Saccharomyces cerevisiae S288C: one gene and its partners. Changing the gene in region 3 together with the main gene of any one other region gives a genetic interaction. Each region holds a gene or a part of one and is shown on either strand. Other genes may lie near its edges. The genes, in order: HLJ1, DFG16, FMT1 and MSC6.

The links.
Region 1: mutations in FMT1 (region 3) and HLJ1 together harm fitness more than expected from each alone (negative genetic interaction), as found in Saccharomyces cerevisiae (2 studies listed by BioGRID).
Region 2: mutations in FMT1 (region 3) and DFG16 together harm fitness more than expected from each alone (negative genetic interaction), as found in Saccharomyces cerevisiae (2 studies listed by BioGRID).
Region 4: mutations in FMT1 (region 3) and MSC6 together harm fitness more than expected from each alone (negative genetic interaction), as found in Saccharomyces cerevisiae (3 studies listed by BioGRID, with this or other methods).

What each region holds. Positions count from the first base shown.
Region 1 is NC_001145.3:574,954-579,781, forward strand, and holds HLJ1 (type I HSP40 co-chaperone HLJ1), read left to right. Parts: upstream 1-2,764; coding exon 2,765-3,439; downstream 3,440-4,828. Other genes in the region: CVM1 (Cvm1p), read left to right, coding at 113-2,563; aminophospholipid-translocating P4-type ATPase DNF3, read right to left, coding at 3,998-4,828.
Region 2 is NC_001147.6:383,832-389,877, reverse strand, and holds DFG16 (Dfg16p), read right to left. Parts: upstream 3,054-6,046; coding exon 1,194-3,053; downstream 1-1,193. Other genes in the region: HMS1 (Hms1p), read left to right, coding at 1-107; YOR029W (uncharacterized protein), read right to left, coding at 4,943-5,278; CIN5 (Cin5p), read left to right, coding at 5,458-6,046. UniProt on the Saccharomyces cerevisiae protein: Involved in invasion during filamentous growth.
Region 3 is NC_001134.8:200,240-203,761, reverse strand, and holds FMT1 (methionyl-tRNA formyltransferase), read right to left. Parts: upstream 1,707-3,522; coding exon 501-1,706; downstream 1-500. Other genes in the region: bifunctional glycerol-3-phosphate/glycerone-phosphate O-acyltransferase SCT1, read right to left, coding at 1-224; RRN6 (Rrn6p), read left to right, coding at 2,014-3,522. UniProt on the Saccharomyces cerevisiae protein: Formylates methionyl-tRNA in mitochondria and the cytoplasm. Responsible for the formylation of the 8 N-terminally formylated (Nt-formylated) mitochondrial matrix proteins that are encoded by mitochondrial DNA.
Region 4 is NC_001147.6:999,563-1,005,532, forward strand, and holds MSC6 (Msc6p), read right to left. Parts: upstream 3,664-5,970; coding exon 1,585-3,663; downstream 1-1,584. Other genes in the region: SOG2 (Sog2p), read right to left, coding at 1-1,266; GDS1 (Gds1p), read left to right, coding at 5,575-5,970. UniProt on the Saccharomyces cerevisiae protein: May be involved in the control of meiotic sister-chromatid recombination.

The DNA of each region.
Region 1 (4,828 bases), on a different chromosome or scaffold from region 3:
CGCGCAGGTTAATAACAAAAATCAACGTTAAATAAAGGTCAACTACAAACAGAATAAGTAAAAGCGAGCAAGTGTAGTAGCAATTTAGCACAACATATAAAACGCTATTATAATGGATGTTGTGCAGCAGAAACAGGATAAACAGTTGCAGCATCAAACACAAGAGCAGCAGCAGATACGAGAGGACCAGCAGGAAGTCCCACCCCAACGTCCACGACAACAAAACAGATGGAAACCCTGGTGGAATTCCACTGCCGACGATGAGCCAAACACGGGAAGAATTGCAGAATATCCTAATGGACAAGGAAGGAGTAGTCCGACAACGGATTTTCAAGATAGCGTGAACTCGAATAATGACAATAAAGGGATATGGTCTAAAATCGCTTCTTTTGCAACATCCAGATATAGAAGTGCCCCAATTGTTGTTGATGATAATACCCGCTACTCTCAACTAAACACTGAACAAATCAACTTCTTGGAAAATGAGGCTAAGGATATAATTTCAAAAAAGTCGAAATCATGGTGTTGGTACGAAGCAATTCCACATATATCAAATTCATCAAACATAATTGATTCCATAGATACCCCAGGAATAATCAGTGTCTCTGGTACAGGATCAGCCAAATGCCCATTGCCATTAAACAAATATCCTGGGGAGGGAGGTAACCCTGGGTATAATGTATTTATTAATGATTCTTTAATCCTACCATCAGATAACCCTTTGAATTTTCTGCACGTCCAACCACTAAGAACTAAGGTATTGAATACTATCAAAAATTACTATAACTTCCCTAATGAGCAACATCTCTATTTAAGACAAAAAAAAACCGCATTACTGAAGGATAAGAGAATTATTATAATATCCGTCGTGGGGGATTTACCAGAAAAGTATGAGCAGCGCTCATTAGAATCACAAAGATCGGCTTATTATCTTTCTAGAAAATTGTCACAAAATCTAGCGCAAGAACAACCTCAAAGAGTCTTGACCCTATCGTTCCAGTGCCCACTGCATAATCAAGATTTAATACCTACATATAAAGAATGTGTAGAGTTACTGAACCACTGGGCTCATCTTTTCAAAGAGGTAGATTCAATTTTTTTTGTGGGCGTTTATCACAGCGTTCCCTTAACTTTGCTATTAGCGAAATATATCGTGCAAAATAATGAAGTTCTAGAGTTTGATGAAAACACTACAGTGAGTGTATTGAGTTTCCAGTCATGTTTACAAGGCTATCGATTTTGGGACCACAGCACTGACTTTACTAGCAATAGTTATAATAACTTGGGTTCCAATTCCAGTACTAACGAAAATGATAGTAATGATCATGATTCAAATAATGATTTCACAACGAAGAGCCAACAAATCAAAGAAAAACAGTTATTTCAGGGCATTGACAAAAAGCAACAAGACACATTATCTAAAATCAAAAATTATAGGCGGATAGATTCTAGTGAATCTAAACTAGTTCAGGATGCATTGGATTGGCTCTTGTTCAATTGGGATACGTTTCGACTGACATTTTTTGGTAAGCTTTATGATAATTTTATGACAATTTCAGAAAAACTTGCTATAGATTATAATCACCCTAAAATCTTGAGAAATTTATGGTGCAATGGGAAGTACATGGGCATTGATTTAAAGAATGCTAATAATTTAAACCTTGATACCGATGATGAAGCAACTAGTAACATTAATGACGTCCATGTAAGGACCCCTAATTTTGAATCGAGATTGAAGATTCCCACCAACAGACTTTTCGAAATAACCTTATGGGATATTTTGATGATAACGGAGAATTTAGGATATAAACAATTTATTCCCATAATTAATTTACTAAGTCCTTTTTTTATTTCAAGGTCATTTAATGATTACACATTGCCTCCAAATATTAGGAAACAGTACCAGAACAGCAACAAAATCTGGCTTCAAGAAATGGACAGTAAGTGGAAAATGAATGGTCATCAACTCAATTACGACCAAAGGGAGGGTGAAAGTCTCGGTTCATCATCGGAATCATTATTGCCAGAGAATATTTCTACGGTAAAGGATTTTTTGCAGTTTGTGCAGTATCAAAACGAAAAATCTTCGGATTTCGTAAGGATATATTCAGACATTTATGATGACGATAAAGTCTATAAATGCTTTCTGTACAATACAATATTCACGAAAAACCCATTAAGTCGTAAGCATTTACGTTTAAACATCGACCTCGACACTCCTACAAGCATATTGAATACTGTCAATCAATATGATTTGGTATGGAAAATTCATGATTCCTTCTCCAAATTGATTCAATTGAAAAATTTACCGCAGCGAGAGATACCACATGCGTTGAGGCTCTCCATCTCATTAAACTGCTTCTTGGATAGTACCACGAGTACTTCTGGCCCTGTTTTTCAGAGGGACACCGTGGAAGCTTTGAGAAGATTAACAGAGATTTGGCGAACTTACCAGGATTGGTCTCCACCAACAAGGGGTTTGAAACACCTACGTGATATCCTGAGCGTTTTAGCCATGTATGACAACCCCAAAAACTTGATTAATGATGTTCGACGTACATAGTAGATTCGTATATAGCGGACCGCGTAACATATTATGGTATTTGTATAGTGGGTAACCCGCAGAGTAGGCTGGAAAGTATTCGTGAAGAACATAAAGGAAGCTGGCAGAAGTTCTTTTCATACACCTCTACTTCCAGAAGCCATAATAGCAGCAACGCTGTTTCTGCAATATAACTTGTGGAAGGTCTATAATAGGAAGAACATGTCTTTCACTGAGGATCAAGAAAAAATCGCGCTAGAAATACTGTCAAAAGACAAGCATGAGTTTTACGAAATTTTGAAGGTAGATAGGAAAGCCACAGATAGTGAGATCAAGAAGGCATACAGAAAACTAGCAATCAAATTGCATCCTGATAAAAACTCTCATCCAAAAGCGGGAGAAGCTTTCAAAGTAATTAATAGGGCATTTGAAGTACTAAGCAATGAGGAAAAGCGCAGTATTTATGACAGGATAGGTAGGGATCCTGACGATAGACAAATGCCATCCAGAGGTGCTGCTTCAGGGTTCCGAGGAAGTGCAGGTGGGTCTCCAATGGGTGGCGGATTTGAAGACATGTTTTTCAATTCACGTTTCGGTGGTCAAAGAGCTGGACCACCAGAGGACATATTCGACTTTTTGTTCAACGCAGGCGGCAGCCCATTCGGCGCTTCACCATTTGGGCCTTCTGCTTCCACTTTTTCATTTGGAGGCCCCGGTGGTTTCAGAGTTTATACTAATAATCGTGGTGGCTCACCGTTCATGCGTCAACAACCCCGCTCAAGACAGCAGCAACAACAAGCAGAAGAAAATGCAGTGAATTCGCAATTAAAAAATATGCTCGTTCTTTTCATCATCTTTATTGTTCTTCCTATGATTAAAGATTACCTGTTTAGTTAAACACAATATTTTTACTGTCATTTTTTTATTATTTTCCAACGTTAGTCAAAGTTGTACTATAAAATAAAACTACAAGGAGCAAGCAAAATTGAAAAAACGCATTTGTATACTAGATGACATTTAGGTCATTCCTTCAGGCTTCCTGGCTATGTTTTATTTTGTTCCACAGTTTACCAGAAGGACATAATGGTATTAGAATTTTAATATATCGAGGAAATTAAATCAGACAGTATAATACTTATAAACATCTTTATTTTCTGATAACTAATCATAGCATTTACGCCATACATTTACTTTTTCTTTTGACACCGAAAGTAATCAAGCCACTTTTATAATTAGAGTTAGTTTATAGATAGTATTTAAAATTTGTGAAGATTTCCCATGCGTTGTGCCTTGCTTTCTCTCAAAATACATCTTGTTAATTTTCTAATGTGTGGATGCCGAAATAATATTCGACTCAACAAATCAAGTAAGTCTTCTAAGCTCGCTACTAATTTCCAATAAAAGGTATATATATAAAAATGTTCTCAATAATGTAATTAAACAAGATCACGAGAATTACTCCAGATCCTTTAGCCTTGCCTGAATAATCTGGTTCACATCTTCATCTTCCACATTCCTCGATGGAAGCTTCAGTTTCTTCGTCAGTTTAGTAGTTATATTGCCGCCAATACTGTCTTTACTGCTTTGTGTTTTCAAGGATGGTCGCTTGATTAACTTGCCACTAGGTAATACCTCGTATCGTTCAGAGCTCTTTTTAGAAGAGTTTCCAAAGAAATTTTTTTTTGAGGAATGGTCTACATTCCCATTTGACATTGAATATATGCTGCTGTTATGAGTTTTTGCACTTGCACGTGAATTAGTTCTTGGCCTTGAAAGAACTTTGTCTGTGTACCTTGTGAAAGTACTGGGATCTTTATCCCACGTCCATCCTTGCCTCATTTCGCTATAGGCTCCTAGTTCCAGCTTCTTTCTGATATCACTTTTTTGTTCCAGCTCAGCAAAAATATCAGAATCTGATGGCCATATCATAACTTTGAATGTTTTGTAAACTATATCTAAAGTGATAGGTAACAGTGCCAACACCAAGCTAGTACACCAGAATGTAATGTCTTTACCAAAATGATTGTAAAAGCCATATGCTACATCATATATTTGGTCAGTATTATTCAAAATAGGAAGGGCACAACACCACACTAACCAACCTCCACAGGATAGAACTACAGAAGTAAAAGCCAGCCAATTCCTATTGTGCATTTCAACAAATTGGGATTTAACGTTAATTAAGGCAACAATGGCTGTGAAATTGATGAGACCTAGAGGATACATAGTGTTATCTGAAAGAGAACTCATACCCCACATTACAACATTTAAAAATGTAATGATAAG
Region 2 (6,046 bases), on a different chromosome or scaffold from region 3:
AACAACCATTGCATAACATTCAATATAATATTCCACATCAAAACGGCCTCATGAGCGGCACCAACAATTCACATGATATGGATTTTAACAACGCAGGAGACTTTTAATACTTGAACAACAAAATGTTTCAACACGACAGATAAAACGAAGAAGAAATACTATATACAAATCTGTACTTGTGTGTATGCGTAACATTGTAATTTTAATTTTGCATTGAGAAATCTATTTTATTCATCTCTTTTAGTGTTAGTAAACACTCGCAGATGCCTTGAGCTCCGCACCGTAATTTAGTTTAATTTATTTCTCTTAGTGCCGTCTAAATAATAACGATCTAAAAAAAAGATTCCGGGAAAAAGAAACTATACCTTATATTTAGTTCATGCAGTTAAATAAATGTTGTTAATTAAGGGTAAAATATGATGATGTATTTATGATAAGTAAAGAGTAGGGGTCACCTAACATTTTTCACAATTGCATTTACTCTTTTCACAAGTGCACGTGGTTTCGCATTTGCATTTTTCACCACAACTCTTACATTGAGGGCTTCCGGTGCTGTGATCACATTTGCACTTTTCACCGCCAGAACAGCTTGGAAGGCAGGTGCTCCCACAATGACAAGAGTCCTTACAACATTCGCCTTAACAGTCACATATTTTTACAGTCATATTTATTGAGTACTATTTGACATTGTAGTGTTCAGTGTAATATCGCTTCGCTATTCTTAGGGGGGACGATGTGCGCCCTTCTTATATAGGCCCCGCTTGATCACTACTTCACAGCCCTCTCGCATCCCTATCCTTTTTTTGTCCGAAAGACAAAAATCACTTCCACACAGCAATAAAGACGCATTTATTGTTCTTTTTCTTAAAAGTGCTTGCAGTAGGGGGTTTAGCAAAAGAAAAAAATATATGACCGGTTGTTATGCGATCTGACGTAAAGTGGAACTCATTTTGAAGGGTTTCTGCACAGAAGTCAATGCCAGAAGGATTTGGAACACCTACAGGACTGAACGTCGGACTAAAATAATGTTGGTAGAGTATGGTATTACTGTAAATTAATCGTTTATACGTGACGTTGACGATGGGATTTGATTTTCTTGTATATCTGACTTGAAAATAAAAGCAATAAATGACCACAAGAAATAAAGGCAGCTGTACTTCTGCAGTTATGTCTTTTCGTCCACTGGGCCTGCCTTAATCACTATTTTCGTAATTATAAATGTGGTTGGTTCGAAGTTCGGTTTCCATACTTTCGTTGTCACTGATGTCTGTAGCTAGATAATTGGAATCTCTAATATGTTTGTCGGCTCCTGGTCTAACAGTTGAGCCTTCTTTATTCTGTCCAATGCCATTTTTTGGTTCATATGAATTGGTTTTTCGCCTAGGCTTCCTTAATAGCTGTCGATATTTGGATAATGTCGTTTTAGTATTAGGTTTGCCATTCGATTTACTTCCAAAACTGGGATTTTGCCCAAATTTATTCTCACTTTTCATTATCTTATGTCTTCTTCTTCTGTCCCTTATTCTTTCGATTGGAGATTTCCAGGTGGGTGAAGGGGATCCTACTAAACTTGATGAATCGTGGGAAGTAGTGTTACTTTTAGTAGTGTTTAAATCCCTGTTTAACGTTATGGCGCTTAAATGCTTGCCTAAATCTTCTCCGTAATAATTGACTGTTGGATTGGCGAAAAATTTGTCCCTATTGTTAATTTTTCGTCCAAGGACTGTTTTTTTGCTTATGTGCAGCTCCCTCTTTTCCAATACTCCAATTAAGCCCCAAACGTTCACTGTTATTAAAACTTTCAAAAGATGAACAAAGTTAAATGTCCAACCTCTAACATGTTTGGTGAAAGCAGCGAAAAAAATTGTGGTGAAATAGAATAAAATAAATATAAGAATATTATACGCCAATAATGGTATAGTTTCGTGATAATTTTCCCAAAGAATTCTCAATTTCGTTTTACACTTACCGTCCGTATTAATTTCAGCAGTTTTCGGTAAAAGTATGTAAGCAAAATTATGCCATGTGAAGTAACAAATAATGGAGATGAAAATTGTGTAAATCAGTAATTCGATTAGCTTGTAAAATACCTTCAAAACTACAAGGTTCTTTCTCCAAAGAAGGTTTGCGAATAAAATGTTATCGGCTAGTGAGAGGAAGCAACCCACGGTAATTATGATATGTGTCCCCTTTTTCATTTTAAATGGGATCCAATTCCAAGTTGGTTTTCCATAATTGGACTGTAAGTAGTGAACAATATAAATCCAGTTTATATCACTCAAAATATTTGCAACTAATTCACATATTTTATATGGTGCAGTTTCTACGATGAACGATTCAAATTGGCTCGCATCCTGGTAGTCATCGTGATATTGGCTGTCAAATATGACGGCTATAGTCTCGTTTAGAAATACAGTTCTTATAATCGCAGAGAAAAGGACGTAAACATGTACAACTTTATTTCTTCTATTATGATTATCGGATGGCAGTAATAAGACAACCAAAAATAGCATCCATGTTGCCACACAGATACACCCAGAAGCAAAGGTGATCATTATCATTCCTAAGGGAAATGGGTCTTTTCCGATGTATTTACTACTGTCATCTTGAACGTTGAATTTGTTGTTGATGTCATAAACAAAGTCTTGTAAGACATGAGAGAAATTAGGATTTGCACTGCCATTATCGCATCGGATCAAAAAGGATGGGTAATTTAAAGTGTAATTATAAGCACGTAAGTGCCACGAATTACTTGCTAGAGAGATGAAGCCACCTGTCAATACATTTACCGTGCATGAGTTTTCATATTTATTTAGTAGTTTATCATCTATCAAATCAGTCAGATTGTAAGCTGGAATGTTGTCGATGTGTTTTTTATAAGGTGGCCGGTGGTCGTAATGCGGTGGTCTTTCATCACCAAGTTTATGTCCCGGAGGACCAGGTATCAAATCGGGAGGTTGAATTCTCTTTCTTGCTGCTTTTTCATACGCACCTACAAGTCCTAAATGGTAAACTAAAGTGAGGAGGTAGTAAAAATGCAATCTTATGATCATTAATCTTGCACGTAAAGACGTTCCGCAACAAAAAATGCTTGTGAGTGCAATATCAATAAGTATTGTTTTTGAGCCTTCGGAGTTGAGCTGCCATTTGGTGGTACTTGTTTTGAATATGATAGAAGCCTTATCTTTGACACTTCTTCCAGTCAATTTTCTCGCCAAGTTAAAAAAAAAAGTTACAATTTTCTCATCACCCCGAAACAACAAAAGAAAGTATATTGCTCTTTAGCCCTTCCTTGCAGATTTTTCAATCCAACGGGGCTAGTAAATCTGATATCAATCACATCGATTGTGTTATCTTCACATGTTGTTTGATAGAAATCAGACCTTCTTTTTTCTTCTTCTCGGATGTTTATAGTTAGTAAAGCTAAACTGTGTATATATGGCAATCACCGAAGACGAATTATTACAGGACAGAAATAAATGGGTTACACACCAGAAATCAGGGACAAAAGGGCCCAACGGAAATTTTATAGGTTGTTTTGTTTATCTGTGCACATAGGCGACAAAACTAAAGTTATGTATCTAAGAATTACAACGTAGTGTAGGTGAGCGGTACTTGAAACTTTCTTTTTGTAAACACCATAAAAGGATATTAATGACATCGGTTGAAATAATGACATCTAGAAGGAAAATTACAACTAGAAGAAAGCGTGATTATGTTGTAAAGAATCCGGCAAATAGAAAAGCTAAAAGATGATTGCAAGGCTAGTGAAGATATTTCAAAACTTAGTTACTCGTTACCTTAAAAACCTTACATTGTTCTCATGTATTACATGAAATTCTATCTTTTCTTTTTGAATAAGCTCTAAGTATTAATCCTCAAGTATTAATTGCCCACCACCTTCTTAAAACTGTTGTTTTTTAATTACAATTTTCTACGCTAACCCGTTTCTTCCATTTTCTCACTGTTAGTATTCCCATATAACGATCTTCTTAGATTATCTATAAAAGCGTATTTTGAGATTTGTTGCAATGACCTAAAAATGGTTGACAGTCATTCTTCTTGTTGCTGCTTTTAATAAACTAATTCTTTAGAGAAGGATAAGTACTGTGACATATTTACACTTTTTAACTAACTTCTTTGGCCACAACTAGTGAAATGTTCATCTACTGCGCAATTCAATATGCCCGCCGATAGCTAAGCGATAGCTCTTTCAAAAATTTTAAAAAAAAGGTACTATCAAACTGAATTGGAATGATTATGGTTCAAACTTACTCCTGATTCAAATATAGCAAAAAAATCAGGTGTGCAGCTATAGATCTGCCAGATACACGAGTCATTGCGAAAGGCACCATATATTACCTTATTTAGTGCCTTCTTGAAAAACAACTACAAGATCTTAACGTCACTGTATAGTGCCATTCGGTGAGCAAAGACAGGTATTGGTACTAATTGACAGTAAATGACTTATCTAACCCGTTGACGCAATGCTTCGCTTTTGCCATCAAGAATGTTGAACTGTGCAAAATGGTATTTTTTCGGAGAAACATTTCAAAATGGAAAGGTAACAACGTCCGTAGTTTTGTTTTTCCGTTTTATCGTTTACATGATTATCCTGAAAAGTCCCCTGCAGCAGCAATCATAGGGCCCACTCACTGCCATGTCTTCCCACCTCCTAAGAAATGGCTGCCCCACGCCCCTTTGACGACTTACTCCTCAAGGTAAAACTTGGCGTACGGAGAGGGGTCGAGAAAAGGTTCCGAGTGGAAATGTACGCCAATGTTTAGGGCTACGTGGAATGTGATCTCATTCTTACAAAACACGTAGATGATGAAAAGGGCCGCAAAAGTTTCTGTTATTCTTTAAATTGTTCCCAGAAATCCTCGAAGGAATGACCTAAATCTTAAGGCACTTGCTTTTAAAACTATTGTTCGTTAATTTGTTAGTAATGCAACCAAGTGCTCCAGCCCAACCGAAAAAAAGGGAAATTAACTTTACATCGATAAGCTCTGACGCAATGCGGGAGGGGATTTCCCGAGCGGAAATACCACGGCGCTGAAAAAAAAAAAATCGGAACCGGAGTTGCCTCACCGATCCCAATGGTGACATGCAAAGAAAATTTTATTGGCATTAAATCTATGAGGAAGAGGGTAGGAAGGAGTACTAGGCAAAAATCGTAACTAGGAGCAGAAGGCGAGTAAAACCCTTTCAATACTAGGGAGAGAGTGATTTGATAAGGATACCTCCTCACTCGAGAACTAGTTGATGTCTGCATCATTACCAAAGTTCATGTATATAAAAAAGGAACTGGGTGATTTATTTTTTCTCACGCATTCTGCTTACAAATAATTCATTAGATAATTTTACTGATTAACTACGACTTTTTGCAGCCGTTAATCTCATCATAGATATAGAATAACAGCTTGGAACAAGAAGGAAAACCAAAAACCTACTCAAATGTTAATGCAAATAAAAATGGACAATCATCCTTTTAATTTTCAACCTATTTTAGCTTCCCATTCAATGACAAGAGACAGTACAAAGCCAAAAAAAATGACGGATACCGCTTTCGTGCCAAGCCCTCCTGTAGGGTTTATTAAAGAGGAGAACAAGGCTGATTTGCATACAATTTCGGTAGTTGCTTCGAATGTGACTCTACCGCAAATTCAGCTCCCAAAGATTGCAACACTTGAAGAGCCTGGTTATGAGAGCAGAACTGGCTCACTTACAGATCTTTCTGGAAGAAGAAATTCTGTTAATATAGGAGCATTGTGTGAGGATGTTCCAAATACTGCGGGCCCACATATTGCAAGGCCGGTGACAATAAACAATTTGATTCCTCCGTCTTTACCAAGACTGAACACATACCAGCTTAGACCGCAACTATCAGATACTCATTTAAACTGTCACTTCAATTCTAATCCATACACCACTGCATCACACGCACCATTTGAATCTTCCTACACTACTGCATCTACATTTACTAGCCAACCGGCAGCTTCATATTTTCCCTCAAATAGTACCCCAGCTACGAGAAAAAATAGTG
Region 3 (3,522 bases):
AAACTGCCCCGGCCTCTGATTTCTCTAAAGAAGCAGTGGAAGATGTTGTACAACAGCCATGTGGCGATGGAGTAAAGTATCTTCTTGGTAGCGCTAGGCTCTTGGTAGATGTATGCCTGATCAGCCGACGTCTTGACGCTTTTGGCCTCGATGGAACTGTAATTCGTAGTTTTCTGTGTGCTCTTGGAAGAGGCAAATTTCTCCGTGAGTTTTGGTGCAGGCATTTTTTTTTACCCCGATGTAAACGCCCCTGTGCTCTTTTTACTATATATTTAATTCCGGGCTTCCTACACTTAATTCACTCTGTTATGAACTACAAGCCATTACTAACATCAATCTTTCCGAATCATAAATAAACTGCAACTGGGAAAGAAGGCGGGCCTACTTTTCTTTTTCTTCATAGCGCGTAGGGCTTGGCAGCCATAGTTGTTGAGAGACCGATGGATGAGGGATTGAAAGAAGGGAGAAGAAGAATACTAAAAGAGGAATGTAGAGCCGGGTTACAGGAAAACTAACTTTTCACTCAGGGCGCCGCATCTTTTCCGCAGGCGCGCCATGAACTGGCCAGCACGTTCTACGGCGAAACCTTCGAACTGGAGGCGGCTCACACATAGTAGTAAGTTGCCGCGACAGGTGACCAAAATACAGTCTTTAATATCATCATATTTGAACATGCCCGGTTTACTGCCATTATCTAGACGTGCGTCTCTCATCACTTTACACTCATGAAACAATATTCGTTTTAATACTGAATTTTGAGCGTCCTTTCTTGCCGCTGTCGCTTCTTTGAACGCGTGCAGAGGACCGAGCGTTTCGAGTTTGTTAAGTAGTTCGGCGGCAGAATCGCGCGCCCAATGAATGCGTTTATCTTCTGTTGTTATACGGTGGGCGTAACTGGGTTTGTAAGCTGTTGGCGCTTGCACACGGTTCTGTGGTAGATATAACCTCTCACGAAGCGTTTGGCCCAAAAGTTGGGCGCCAAGGGCGCCCAACTGGTCCATCAGTATGGCAGTCCTCCGAGGCAGGCCCTCAGAATTAAAATCTGCCGTCGAATCATTGACTCTCCCTTTTGACAGCATTGTTGCGATCGCCAGTGGCTCCGTCTGCGCTACAATTGCACCATGGTCAAACCGATCCGGATGCAGTGTCTGTATAGTTACACCGGTGTAAGTGTCACCCTCGAGCAGAGCTCGCTGGATAGGTGCACTGCCTTTATGTCTGGGAAGTAGCGAAGGATGGACGTTTAGCGCCAATGGCACCGCGCGGATCAAGTCACCCGGAATGAGCTTCCCAAAAGAAACCGCAATGATCGCGTTGAACGGAGCACCGGAGCCGTCGTTCTCCGGATTTCCTTGGCGACTGGGTGTCAGTTTGCTTAGCGCCAACATTTCCTGCTTGGTGTCGCATGTAATTGGGCGTGGCAATTGAAGCTTCTCTGCCATATCGAAGATCGGCGGGTATTTCAAAATAGACTTCTGTCTACCGCACCACTTCGGCGACCTAGTTACTACTTGAATATTGTCCACTATACCACAGCTTCCATTATTTTGACGCAACTCATTGAGTGCTTGCAATGAGAAATTACTGAAAGTGTCGCTACCAAAGAAAAGCACATTCAAGGGCTGCACTGGTGGAGAAGCATTGTTTGAAATATATCTGCATGTGAATAGGAGGCGTGTAGGTGTTATTCTTCTCATTTTAACCATTTGTTTGATACGCCGTTTTCAATCTTCTCACTATGAGGTGCCTAGGTCCCCTTCCTTTTTTTTCTTACCTCTCTTTTTACGTTAATGAGAAAAGCGCTTACTCCTCTCCATAATAGCAGGTACAGCTTTTTTTGCTTTTTTCTTAATGGACGCTTCTTCCATTTGATATAAATATGGGTTACCCTGTGGGCATACGATAATTTTTATTCTCTCGATTAAGAAACCGAGATGAGCTTTCATATTAGTTTGGTAATGATATTGATGTGGCAAGTTGAAGTAAAGAGAGAAGGCGTTCTATGGGCTGAGCATGAGTGAGGGACAAATTCCAAGCTCAGATGTGTTAGGCTCGCAATTGGGTGTTGGTGTACAAGGCGCCAGTCTTTACTGTCCGCAAGAAAATTACACTACGAAGAAGCAAGAAAAGCCACAATGGCTAAGACCAGTAGATGATACATTGGCCGAGGATGCACTAGACCTTCATATAGTGGTCAAAAGTCTGCTTTGTGATACTGCCATAAGATATATTTCCGACGACAAGGTTTTGCAAGAATCAGATGCCGACGATGATCTCATAACTAGCGATATTGATGAAGATACGGACAATCAGGGGGATACATCTATAGTGGTCAATCCAGTGATACCCGTGGTACCGAAAGATGTCCATTTTTTTAAGAAAGTTGACGTTGGTAATGATTCTATGTTTGGTGTGAACTGCGATACGCCAGTTTCATTTCAAGATTACATTCCTTCAGATTTGCTGCGCAACTTAGATGATACATTACAAGAAAGTACTAACTCTTCGAGGCCGATGCAAGACGCCTTCTTTTGGGATCCTACTGTGGCTAATCGACTGGACTCTCAATATATTCAGACAGCATCAGATTTAAGAAATTATAGAGACGGAACCGAAATCATAGCATATGCCTCGGGTAAAACAGGCTCAGTCCTAAATATAGCAGTTCTGACACGACAAAATACATTGCATTTAAACCGACATAACAATGTAACGAGTATCGAATTGCATTCACCTATCAAGAGTATTAAGATACCGGGGGCCTCTGAGTCCATCGGGCGGAGATCAAACCTGGTGGGCATAATCACCGAAAATTCTTTCCAAATCTTTAGAATTGAAAGTGTCCACTCAAGATCATGTGATGTCATGGTTAGTAGTTCAGAACCACTGTATTTTGTTGAAATAGACGACCTTCAGGTGGTAGATTTTGCATTCAATCCTTGGGACTTACAACAATTCGCAATCATTGATATAAAAGGTAACTGGAGTATCGGGAGGATACCAAAGAATTTCAATAATAATAACAAAAGGAAACTACAGTTAATAGATAACCTCCACGGTACGATTTTTGATCCAGAAGAATTATCGTCATGGAAAAGAATAGAATGGTTTTCACACTTCCAAAAAATACTGGTCTTTGATAGGTCCAAAATGATTGAGATCGACTTTATGAACAATTGGCAAACGGAAGTAGTACAAGCGAAAGCATGGTCAAACATACGTGATTATAAGCGGATAGATGATAAAAATGGTATTTTACTCACTTCAAGGGAAATAATCATCGTAGGGGCATCAGAATCAAATGATCCAGTGAGAAGAATATCTTGGAAACACGATCTGGATCCAGATGATACTACGCTCAGAATCACTGTACAAAAGGTTAAAAAGCCTGACCATATTCTTCTGGTGGCCTTTGTATATTCGATGCGGCATAAACGCATCTATATGCATGTATTTTCCCATAGGAAAGCAAACTTGTTTCAATCCTTAGGATGCTCAACAGTTCTTGAAATTCCGGGTGGG
Region 4 (5,970 bases), on a different chromosome or scaffold from region 3:
GAAGCATAGATCGTCTTCTTTGAAAAAAATCTCAAAATTTTTTCTCAACAATGTTATAATTTGTTTAAAATTTGTGATGATAGTGAGGCACAGCTTGATTAACGCCTGATCATGCGATTCGTCTTCGTTCTCTGTTTGCTGCAAGACCTCCACCAGATTATCAGTATGTGATCTGACAGAGTATAATAATGATACTACATTAACCGCTACGGCCTTCTCTTTACAGAAAGAGGCGATTTTTCTGATAGCTTGTTGGCATTCTGTAAAACTAAATAGGAGCTTCCGACAGGAAACAACCAACTCTGCATGCGATATTTTTTGATGCCCGTTACTCATTGACTCTTCTGGTAAAATCGACAACCTCTTGAAGTAGTCATTATATTTGGTGTGATTGTATAGTTCCGTACCATTCACTGCCCCACTTTGTTCTGATTCTGCATTGACTGTACCACTGAAAGATGTTGCAGAGGTTTGATTAGATGAGACCATTGCAGTAGATGCACTTATAGTTGTATTTGCACTTGGGGCAAGTGAAATTATATTGTTTTCATTCATTGCTCCATTAGACAAGTTCGTATTTATGAATCCCATTCTTTTCGCTGCTCTAGATATTTTAGGTTCTGGAGTAGGTAGGTTAGGATGATCTTTTAGATATCGTGATATCGCAATTGCCCAATATTCTTCTTTGGGGATGCCCGTATGAAATGGAGTATAACTCTGTACTTGGTCAAGCTCTTCTTTGGGTATTTTATTATCCTCTAAATCCAAGATGCTCAGCTTGTTTAATTTTGTGATCGATTTCAAATTACGTATGCTAGTAACGTTGTTGTCTTTCAATGATAATACACGAATATTATCTTGCCAAAACGATGATATTTCATCTGGCAATGCTTCAATCTCATTGGAGGACAGATCCAAGATCTCTAATTGAGGGCATTGTGTCAAAATATATGGGATTTCTTTAAAATTGTTATTATGCAAATCCAGATATTGCAGCCTTGATAACCTCTTGAAACTCGCTGGTAAGGATGTTAAGTGATTTTTCCTTAAAGACAGTCTTTCAACATTTTGGATATATCCCACATCTTCATCTGATATGGACTTGATATTAAGAGCTATTAATTTTAGTGTAGTACCACTAGAGCTGGATTTCTCTTGTGTTGCCAACTCAGATATTATAGTGTTGCTTGAATTAGTGGATGTTTTGTCAGCAGGCAAATGTTCCTCCTTCGGATCCAACGTCCTCTTTGAAGATGTCGCTACCATACGTTACGGATACTTATAGACTTAACTCCCCCCAATAAGTTCAGGTGAAAAGTAGCATGGAGTTTTGGCATTAACTTTATTTGCCCACTTATATTTAGAGATCTTGAAATACTTTTTGTTACCCGACTTGTAGCTTCATTTTTTCATTTTTTTTTTTTTTTTTTATTTTTATTTTGTATTGTTCTTTGAAAGAATCATGCATGGAAGCAATAACTATTATACGGAAGTTATATACAAGAAATCATTATATAGTTACAGCATCATATGTGCAGAAAATTGGTTCTGAGCTTTTCTTATTGTCTTCTTATGACAAGTGTATTAAGTCAACTTTTCTGGAACAGTAATTCCATCACATTCTTTTAAAATTTGAATATCCTTAGGGTTGGGACGAAAACCCTCATTAGTGCCTAAATCTCGCATAAACTGGTTAATAAAAGCAACCTCTTTGTCAGATAACTGCTGAGTATTGCGTGCAAATGTGGCCAAGTTGAATAGAATTTTCGAAACGGCCAAGTTCGACACCCTGATACTTGAATCCTTAGCTAGATTGTAGTACTTTTCGATGTAGGGAACGTACTCGCTATGTTTACTCTTGTAAAGTTTATCACAGAACCCCAATAATAAAGCATTTAGAGGCGTATTATCCACGTTTCTCTTTCTAGTCTTTTGATATGAGAGAAAATCAGAAAACAAATTCTTTGCCTCGGCCACTGTGCCGTCAGGCTTATTAAACTCTGCGGAAATAAAGTCTGCATAATTCCTAGCATTTAAGTGAGTTCCCAATTGTTTGTAAAGTTGACGAATCGGCTCGACAGTGGGGCACACTGAAATAAAGGCTTTCGTAATCTTTTCAACCTTTTCATAATCGGTGGGATTAATGGAAACACTTTGCAATAGATCGAATTGTGGGCGTGTATCTTCTGCCTGAAATTTATAATTAGCGTACATTTTAATGCTTAGAGTATCCAAAGTAGGGGGTAACACACCATCTGATGGATAATGGTTATAGTAAAATGTGTTGAATTGTTCTTCGCTCACTTTTTCATCATCTAACATTAGCAATAAAACTTTATTGAACAACTTCTTGGTTTTAACAGTCTCTGCTAACTCCCCTTTGACTTGGTCATACTTTAGAGGCGAAGTTTGACATAAGGCCAGGAGAAATGCTTCCTTCACGATGGGATCTTTCTTGAACTTTTTAGGAAGTTCTTCTTCCCAAAATTCCTTTAAATGGTTGAAATTTCCAGAATCAGTTAGTGCGTTAACTAGCGTCGCATAAGATGTGTTTTTAATATTATCTCCTGGTTTGATAACACTGTTCCAGACTGCTAGAATTCTGTCCAACTTCTCTTTACTCGATTTAGCTCGTAAGTGCGACACAGCTCTTAAAAGACAATCTTTCAGCGACGTACTATTTGGGAAAACCTTGCTATACTGGTTATAAATAGTAACAACTTGGTCGGGTTTATCCAAATCAATAAACTTGTCCATGAACTTGCTTATGATCTCTACATTTTTCTCACCTTCAAGTTTATTGTATTGGCCATAAAGATCCCTTAAATCTATCCATCTAGGAGCATTTTCAATTTGACTTAAGAAATGATCACTATCCTGTACTGTGTATTGATAGTACAAAGTGTTTAGATTTTTGATAATCACGTCTCTTCTTTCAAGAGAGCTAAATTCTGTACTTAACATTCTTCTAATCATGTTAAAAGGTAAAACCTGGCCCATTTTACGATCGATCTGTAAAATCTTATACAGAATATTGATATCCACAGTATTCTCTGGTAAAGATAAGTAAGCAATGGTGGTAATTGCAATATTTTGCATATGTGCACGAGAAGAACTATTTTGAAGTAAGATCACTGGGTTTTCGGAAATGGTTTCCAAGTACTTCACCCATAAGGCAATAACGTCCTGTGGTGATTGATTATATAGAAGGTACTTTAAAACAATCGTGAAATGTTGTGAGCGTGCCAATTTGTATTGGCACAATGTGTTTAATACTTGATAAGGATCTAGCGTCATATTTTTGCTTCTGTAACTTAATTCCTGTAGGAGATCCGAAGAAAAATTCGCTAACAAGTGTGATCTTTCCATAGGTGAAGGGTTCCTTAATTTCTGTTTCAACGATTCAATCTTATCTTTAAAGTCATTAAAAACTTCATTGATATCTGAATCTGGAGCTTTCAACTCGTTCTTCAAATCAGCAGCCAAATTTTGTACCCTTTCAAACGGTGAGACGTGCTTTTCTCTATTTCCTGAATGTCCATCATCTGTTTCTTGTAAGTGAACGCTGCTTTGTTGGTATATCGATGTTGAAGAGGTTAGACATCTTCGTGAAATAATCACCTTTGAACAATCAAAGGCCCTTAAAGCATTATGGGAAAGCATCTGTATCCCAGTGGAAGGCTCTGATATTATTTTGTGCAGAGCCAACTTAAGCAAACATATAGACAGTACGTCCTTAGTTAGACATGTGTAGCAATTGAACGATTCCACAGGCGGTATGTATATCGTATATGATGATATTACATTTTACTTACCCCGCTTTTTCCCTCTTATAATCGATTAATTACTTAGTCGACGAGCAACCTTTTATGGCATATTTGAAAGGTAATACAATGTTCCAACTTCGTTTTTTATTCACAGATCAATTAACGTATTGGCACACCTGATATTTCCTCAATAGTAAGTAGTTTTGGTGATGTAACTTTGACACTACCTTCGACCGAATATTCACTTATAAAACTTATATATTACTTGCTTTTACTTCTAACTTGTCTGGAGAGTTCAATCTTTGTTTTCAGCTCTATATACCGGTTTTCTGCATCGGCGGCTAAATGGTATTCTTTTCCGCTTGGCTCTACACAATGTTTATTAAGCTGAGCGTCGGTGTTTCCGATTTGGACCGTTTGACTTTCTTTTTGGACTGGTTTTCTTTTTTAGTACGAGGTGTACGGACAAAAGATACTAACGGACAAAACGCGGTTGCAACTGAAATTTTTTTTTCACTATTTTCGTAGGGCACATTGGTGTAAATATATATATATATACTCAAGGTTCATCTCGTTTTTTTTAATATTCTTGTTCCTTACTCTTGATCATACGTAGAATGTATGTCTTTATCCTGAAAGTAAAGAAAGGATTATACAATGCTGAAATGTTAGTACTAAATATGAGCATACAATCACTTGTTGTTCACTAGTTCAACGAGTTTCATTCATATTCAACTCACGCAAGGGATTATGGAAGAAGAATCCTTTTTATGAAAGGGAAAAAAAACCGAAATACTATGTTAACTGCTTCCAACGCTCTATACTAATGCGCATGAAGATTTTACTTGCGAATCAAACTGATTCGCACGCAATATCTAAGTCTGCTATACCTACCTTACATCTCGCCGTATGTTATGGGTGCAAGGGTGTTTTTTTTTTTTTATATTTTTTTTGTTTGGGGTTTTCGATACTTTGTGAAGGAACGACGCAGAAAAAAACGAAAATCATACGCCCGATGAAATTTTTGATAAGAAAATTTTCTGAAAACCCATGCGATGAGAAGTCAAAAATTTTTCTTCTTCTCCTTTTCTTGTACTTTTATCCCGGCTAGTTCTTTTTCTAAAATTTTCATATTCCAGTCCAATATTTTACTTCATTTTTTTTTTCTGTTCTCGCTTGGCTTGATTTAATTTTTTACGTAGGTTTTTTTTACACGATATTGTTTGTATTATCAGTATTCCCTTCAAGCTCCCCTTTTTTTTATCAATTAAGGTTCTTGGTAATTTCTATTTCTGAAAAACCAAAAACAAAAAGTCATTGATTGACTATTTGACTCAAATTACCAAAATCATAACTTTTCTTTTCAGCATTCCATTATTGAAGGCTTTAAAATAATAGTTTCTTTTTTCCTATTATTTTATTTTTTCCTTTACATTGGAATACATTTTATTTTGAGTTTTAATTTTTTTTATTTTCTATTCCATTGTTTTTTATTTGCTTTGGACTGCCCTTTTCGTAATAATTTCCCTTTTTACCCTATTTTAGTCACTTCTGTGTCAGCAAGCGGGATTATATAAAGAAACGTTAGCAGAAACAATATCAGCAAAATAGAAAATAAACGGGCAATCAATCAATAACTACAGAAATATTGGGAGGTTTTAACTAATTTTTCCAGGATATTTCAACTTTTCATAAATCAAATTTTTTTTACTTTTTTTTTTGCTTTGCTATAGTATTTTAGAAAAGGACAAAAAAATACGAAAAAAGACAAAAAACCATATAAAAAAATTGATTAGAAGAACTTATAATGGCATTGGCAAATTCCAGACCTTTGCAAATACCAACTTTAGAGAATGAAATTCTTCATAACTCAAATTCTCCAGTATTTCAGTTGAATTCAATGGGATTTACAACTAGAGCTGACACTATTTCGAATCCAGGCACGGATCTTATCGGCAACCAGCCAGGCATGGCCCTTGATGATAATAATTTGGCCGGTTCTTCGTTTTCCTCATCTCAGGAAATAAAAGCTACCAAACCTAAGAAGGACTTTGGTGCTCCCAAAAAAGACAATCCATTATTAGAAATTTCTAAGCTAATACCTGTTACTGGTGAGAGGCCAAAACCCGAAAATAGAGACTCCCCTCTGGATGATGACGTTCTTCACGCAGTTTTTTTAATATTATGGGAAATGGATCCGAAT